Saccharomyces cerevisiae S288C: one gene and its partner. The protein of the gene in region 2 purifies or fractionates together with the protein of the main gene of each other region. This does not show direct contact. Each region holds a gene or a part of one and is shown on either strand. Other genes may lie near its edges.

Region 1 (4,253 bases), on a different chromosome or scaffold from region 2:
AAATCACAGGGGAGAGCAGCTTAAAATTTTTTCTACAGACATACAAGAAGAAATTGCAGTTTTTTTTTTTTTGTTTCTCTAACCTATAAATAAAATGTTTCAATACACATACTAAACAAAGAAAAAAAAATGTAGAGAATTTTATACGCAAAATATATAGACACTTTCCCCTATTTTTATCAATAAAAAAATGAACACATCAATGCCACTACCATCCATGCTCGAACAACATAGAAATGGATTCACCGTTATGGATTCTTCTAATTGCTTCACCGATTATGCAGGAGACATCAATAACATCCACTCTGTCCTTACCTAGGTACTGTAGTGTTCTATCTTGAGGAACCGTGTTAGAAATGATCAACTTATCTATACTACTTTGGCCGATTCTTTCTAGCGCATCACCGGAAAAAACACCGTGCGTTATTAAGGCATAAACTTTGGTAGATCCTTGATCCTTCAACAATTTCGCAGCTCTTGTAATAGTGTATGAAGTATCCACCAAGTCGTCGACTATAATACACACCTTGTTTCTAACATCGCCAACAAGCATGGTAGTTTGAACGAACTTGGACGAATTAGAAGATTGCGACGAGGTGGAAGATGTTGAAGTTGTTTTCTTCATTTCAAGGGCCGCAACCCCAGTGGCACCTGAAGAAGTAGTATTTTGGGAGGAAACCAAAGTAGTAACTAATGGCCTTGGAGATACTGGTAACGAACCACCAGAGGTTAACGTCGCATCTGGAGGGCCCTTCAATAACTGAGATCTTCTTTCTTTATGAATTAGGGCGAAGGACAATTCCAAGGCGTCTGCAATAGCCGTAGCTCTCTTTGCACCACCAGCATCTGGAGAAACGATCACAGCATCCTGATAATCTGGAATGCGATGCTGGATGTAGTTTTGTGCAATGGGTTTACAGTAGAGATTATCCACTGGAATGTCAAAAAACCCAGGGAACTGTGGATCGTGCAAATCCATTGTGATCACATGGTCAGCACCTGCAGCACTCAACAAATGAGCAATCAAAGTACCGGCTTGTACTACCCATAGCTTATAGCCTGCATTTTGAGCGTTGAACAATTCACCAGCGTCCGTGCTATTGCTTGTATTTTGTAACTTACCACCGGGAATCATAGGAATTCTTGAAAAAGAAAGCGTCTTCTTGATGTCGAAATTGTTATTCGCCGTAGCACTGCTGTTTGGTGTTCTGATAGGTTGAGGATTTTCTAAGTTGATAGTTGATCGTATTGCACTATCCAAACTCTTCAACGAGCTCTCAGCACCTGGTCTTTGCGTCATTAAAGAAGATGACACGGGTGTGCCTGGATGCGATTCAAAAGTATAGTTTTCTTTAGGCTTGGAAATTATGGGAGCACCCTTGGCAGTATATGGAATATCTGGCTGTCTCGAGTAGCAGAGATATGGCATTACGGCTGTAACCCTCGAGGCAGAAGCGGACTTGCAGGCACTGATTAAAATCAGCAACTGCATGAACGTGTCGTTCACCTGGCCACAACCACTCTGGATGATATATACATCCTTTTCACGAACAGATTCGCGAAGAGCAATGTTCGTTTCCCCATTAGAAAACTTCCCTAATTCTACTTTCGATGGGTGAATGTCCAAATTTTCACAGATCTTAGTAACTAACTCGGGGTGCGAGTCCCCTCCAAAAACAACAATATTACTCATTGACATCCAGACTGCGTTCCTAGCCTCGTAGCAACCTCCAACAAAGTCACTTTCGACCAACTTACTCTCATCTCATCCAGCCCTTCTCGCTAATCGTAGCCATTTATTATTTGATAGAAAATTTTTTTCAACTGCGGTCGAAGGGTAACAGCCATATTTTCCTTAATTGATTAGTATAGGAGAACTTGATGATAAAGTGTGGAAACCTTTCATAAACGGTTGGAGAAAAGAATCACATAGAGTTATGGTGAGCAATGATTAGTGGTGTGCTGGTATACTCATCGAGAGGTGAACTTGTCTTGAACAAGTTCTTCAAGAACTCGTTGAAGCGGTCCATATCCGATATCTTCCGAGTACAAGTGATCAATAATCTAGATGTTAGATCGCCTGTTTTGACACTGGGCTCAACTACTTTCCATCACATCAGGTCGAGGCATGGTGACAATTTGTGGTTGGTAACCATTACGAGAAGCAACGCTAATAGTGCGGCGATCTGGGAGTTCTTATATAAGCTTGATGCAGTGATGAATGCTTATCGATTGGATAGAGAGGAGGCCTTGAAAGAGGAATTCATGATTGTGCATGAGATGCTGGATATAATGTTGGGTGGAAATGGGATACCAATTGACACTGAATTGAACTCTGTTATAGCGCAGATGTCTGTGAAACCCGTTAGAAATATGGGCGGATTGTTAGATAGTCCCGATGGAAATGATGTATTATCTTCCTCTTCATCTCCTACTTCTTCAGCAGGAGAACTACATTTTCCCAAATTTTTGACAAAAAGAAGCAGTAGTTTCCTGGGTCAAGGAGACTCCACTTCTGATTTCTATGATAACAATAAGATCACTTGGAGGCCCAAGGGGATAATACACAAGAAGGATGAAGTTTTCTTGTATGTCAATGAGAGGATAAACATTCTGGTATCTAGGGATGGTTCTATCTTGAAATCATACGTTGATGGCACCATAGATATCACCACACACTTGAGTGGGACCCCTATTTGTAGATTTGGATTGAATGATTCTTTGGGAATGCAGTCCGAAGACGAGAAGAAATGGTTAGCACAGCAGCAGCGTCACTCTGGCAGCGATTTTGGAAACAAGAACTTCATTCCCAAAGCTGCTGCCGGTAGTGTTTTGTTGGAAGATTGCAAGTTTCACGAATGTGTCTCACTTGACAAATTTAACAGAAATCATATCATTGAATTCGTCCCACCAGACGGTTCGATGGAGTTGATGAAATATCATGTACGAGATAACATAAACCTGCCGTTCAAGGTTACACCTATTGTTACACATTCTACAAGAGATAACGAGATTGATTACAGGATAACATTGAAGTCTTTATTTCCTGGAAAACTTTCCGCCAAAGATGTGGTACTACATATACCCGTTCCACCAAGCACTGTGGATTGTAAGATAAGTGTCTCTAATGGCCACTGTAAGTTTGTGCCAGAAGAAAATGCAATGATTTGGAGGTTCAACAAGTACAATGGGTTGACGGAAAACACTTTAAGTGCAGTTACTGTGTCCACAAGTGATACTACTCAATTGAATCTTCAACAATGGACAAGACCTCCAATATCCCTGGAATTCGAGGTCATGATGTTCAGTAATTCTGGCTTAGTCGTACGATACTTTACCATTTCTGGAAAAGACAGTAAGCATCGTGCTGTAAAATGGATTAAATATATATCGAAAGCCGGTTCTTACGAGGTGAGGTACTAGCCCGTAATTTTTGTGTACATATATTTTTATCATGCCTGTATTTTTTATAGTAATTTCCTTTAGAATGCACATTTTGTTAATATTGAATATTTTCTATTATGAGAGACATGCAATTTAGTTTTTCATTGAAAAGAAAACAGGGAAAAAACATGGAAAAACCATACAAGACACCAAAAACACCATAGTAATGAAGATCAACAGCGCAATCAAGAGGCACTGGTACTTCTAGGCTTGAAAATTTGGTTTTGAATATAATGCCCCCTCAGATTCCCAATGAAAATGATGATCTCTTTACAAGGTGGCTTAAGTCTCGGGCCATCATACAAAGGGCAGTATCGACAAGAGAGTGCTTTGACTCAGAAGTATTTCTGGCGTCTGGTGGCTGGAATATAACGAATGAGATAATAACGTTAAAGAAATATTATCAACTCAAGTGGCCAAACTCCAGTTGCAATTCGTTTCATCCAAAAACCGTGGAGTTTATTAAAGAACGATTACACAACCTAGAAGAACATGACTCTTCATGGAAAATCCCAAATCCTGCTTACTCATTCAAGAAAGCCTTCTTGGAGGATACTAAATCTGCATTTTCCAACTTAGAACCCGTCTGGGGACCATCAAGGCTTTTGAATCCAGCTGAATTACTATTGCCACAGGACGAAAAACTACTTGTTCAAGAGATACCACTAGAGTTCGCACCTTTTCAATACACAAATAGGTTTGCTTATGGTGGTTTGCAGTTCAAGAACAATTTGTTCGTCACTTATGGGAGTTATTCCTTCCTGGCTGCCGGTCAATGCGTCGAAGTTCATAATTTCGATATACTATTG
Region 2 (3,058 bases):
GTTGTCATATGACACTTCAAATTCCCTGAATCTCGCATCAGTGTTACAAGAATCGATGAAGGGGATGATATTGTTAATCATGGTAATCAGCATGATTCCGAGGGCATAGGAATCCATGGCCAACGGATTATAGGGTTTTTGGAACTTTTCGGGGTAGTGCTTCTTGGCATCGAAGTACATTACCTCTGGCGGAGTGTATGGTGGAGAGCCAATCATACCTTGGCATGTTTTCACTGGACTAGTGTAGTCATGAGGTATCACATGGTACCAATCAGAAATACCGAAATCCGTCAATTTGCATATACCTTCTTTAGAAATTAAAACATTTTCGGGCTTCAAATCACGGTGAGCAATACCATTGTCATGACAAAACTTAATACCTTGGGCCACTTGTTTGAAAAGACAATATTTTTCATTGAAGGGAACGTTCTTCCAGCCTGTTCTTTCCATCAGTTGGAAGAGGTCCTTAACACCTAGTTCCATAATAAACCCCCAACCACGAGTTGTATATGTGGTCGTGGGAACTTTTAGAAGATAAAAAGTATTCGTGATGTGAACGTTATGACTTAAATGCTTAGCTATGATGAATTCTTTGGAGCATCTCTTGTAAAACTTCTCGGGTGACTCGTGGTATATCATATTCAGTTTTTTTAGAGCGTAAACATCCTTTTGCCTGTAACTTGATTTAACCTTTCTAACTTCACTAGACCCACCCGAACCAATAGGTTTATTGTCCGTATCAAATACGAAATTATCCGTTAAATGGACACTATATTGTTTCATATCTTCGGGCAAAAAATCGTTCGGATTAGCAATTGGAAGGGGCAACATCCGTATCTTGCTGTTACCATCATGCATGTAAAAACTCAAATCGTTCTCCTTATTCGTATTCAGAGTGTCTGCAAATGCAGTATCTGGCCTAGCATGGTTTGGGCTTATGCCGTATGGATTATAAACTATATTCTCGTTGGGAAAATGGTGACTAGCCATGCTATTAGACCTTTGCGGTAAGCCCGCGTGATGAGTATTTCTTTCTTTGTTTCTCGCCCTTTCTTTTTCCTTTTCTCTATCCAAAACTGCTCTATCCCTATCTCTTGTCGAGGCAATGCCAGTACCTGTGCCCAGAATATCAGAGGGAGAGTTCAAGTAAGGGTTATTATTATGTTTAATTAAGTCCTGCAATGCGACAGAGGACTTGTGTGACGACACAGACCCATTTGAAAATCCTACAGAAGCATTGTTTTTTCTTCTATGTAAAGAAGCAGATCTCTGCCGTGCCCCAGCAGAAGACGAAGGTGAATTACCACCGCTACCACTGCCACTAATGGACGGAGACGTTGGCCTTTTTCTTAAACTTCTCCCATTGCCCAATTGTTCGGCACTAAGCAGTAACGAAGAGTTATCCGTGTGACTGCTGGAATTAAACAGGCGTTTTCCCAATAGTTTCAAAGTACTAACAGAGGGACTTTTATCTACCTCTTTGTCCTTACCGTTTCCCGCCATTATCTTATTCAATCGGTTAACCTGTAAAAAACTGCTACGGCTTACACAACTTTACTTTCCTGGTGTGCGTGCGATATCGTGGTTTGGATAAGGGTAGCGACGGGATGTGACAATACCTTTCTTTAACACTATATATAAACCTGCTTTTACCGTCAACCGGATATTATTTGGTTCTACCTCCCACCTGCAAGGGGTCGTGCCAATGACGAAAAGACAGCCACCCATGCACCGCACTCGCACGTGGCAACTATTTGCGCCTTTGCCCAAGAGGTTATGCTTGTAGATGGGGTGACCGTACTAAAGCGTTCATGTTGTATATACCATATATGTAGGCTTGAATGGCTATAGGACGCGGGTATGTTTATCATGCTGCCGGCACGTAGTACTTGCAGCTCCGGCATTTCTAAACTGTACCTGTAGTGGAAGGGTCTTTCCAATAGTTTTGCAAGACATATCATTTTGCACGCATAGAACAGTTTCGGATACTTTTGATACAAACGGGGAGGAATGGTTTATTCAGTAGGTACATTAAGAACGTTTGCCTTGAGATAGCGTTTGGTGCTGTTATTTTGTGAAGAACGGAGACTTGTTTGCTGTAAGGGATAAAAAAAATGGCAGTACAGTTTATACTGTGCTTTAATAAGCAGGGTGTGGTGCGGTTGGTGAGATGGTTCGATGTACACAGTTCGGATCCTCAGCGTAGCCAGGATGCCATTGCGCAGATTTATAGACTCATATCTTCCAGAGATCATAAGCATCAGAGTAACTTCGTAGAGTTTTCCGATTCGACGAAACTCATATACAGGAGGTATGCGGGTCTGTATTTTGTCATGGGTGTGGACTTACTTGACGATGAACCCATATATTTGTGCCACATCCATCTGTTTGTGGAGGTGCTAGATGCATTTTTCGGCAATGTCTGTGAACTGGATATCGTATTCAACTTTTACAAAGTCTATATGATAATGGACGAGATGTTTATTGGAGGGGAAATACAAGAAATTTCAAAGGATATGCTGTTAGAAAGACTAAGTATTTTAGATAGACTAGACTAGGATATATGTACAGATCCTCCTAGAAGAACGAAAATTTATCATGATCAATATGCGTACTCAAAACAGGCTCAACGATTTGCCAAATAAGCGCTTCAACTTCCTGAATGCCCTTATTAGTAACGTCTACAATCGTGATTGACTCATCGCCTTTCCTTATCTCTTTATCCAATAGCTTCATAAAAGTTTGCTTCACTTTTTCTTGAAACTTAACAGTTTCGTATCTTTCGTCACCAAATCCAGATTTTTCGGCGTTATTGTCGACATCTTGAGTGCTTAAAAATAATGTCAAATCCGGTTTCAGCAACCCTACATCGGGTTGCAAGCACCAATCCAAATCCATTCCATTTGTCCCCTTAGCGGCAGAATATGCCACTCCAGAATAAACATATCTGTCCATGACAATGTTCTTGCCTTCTAGTAAATCTTTCTTTATCTTGTCAACTATTTCCCATCTATTTGCCGAAAACAAGAGGTGAATTGCCTGATCTGATAATTGGAAA

What was found.
Region 1: the proteins of APS2 (region 2) and APM4 purify together in Saccharomyces cerevisiae (affinity purification with western blotting; 2 studies listed by BioGRID, with this or other methods). This does not show direct contact.

Annotation. Positions count from the first base shown.
Region 1 is NC_001147.6:209,690-213,942, reverse strand, and holds APM4 (Apm4p), read left to right. Parts: upstream 1-1,947; coding exon 1,948-3,423; downstream 3,424-4,253. Other genes in the region: ribose phosphate diphosphokinase subunit PRS5, read right to left, coding at 209-1,699; CRT10 (Crt10p), read left to right, coding at 3,678-4,253. UniProt on the Saccharomyces cerevisiae protein: Component of the adaptor complexes which link clathrin to receptors in coated vesicles. Clathrin-associated protein complexes are believed to interact with the cytoplasmic tails of membrane proteins, leading to their selection and concentration.
Region 2 is NC_001142.9:544,232-547,289, reverse strand, and holds APS2 (Aps2p), read left to right. Parts: upstream 1-2,114; coding exon 2,115-2,558; downstream 2,559-3,058. Other genes in the region: protein kinase PTK2, read right to left, coding at 1-1,503; CDC8 (bifunctional thymidylate/uridylate kinase), read right to left, coding at 2,578-3,058. UniProt on the Saccharomyces cerevisiae protein: Component of the adaptor complexes which link clathrin to receptors in coated vesicles. Clathrin-associated protein complexes are believed to interact with the cytoplasmic tails of membrane proteins, leading to their selection and concentration.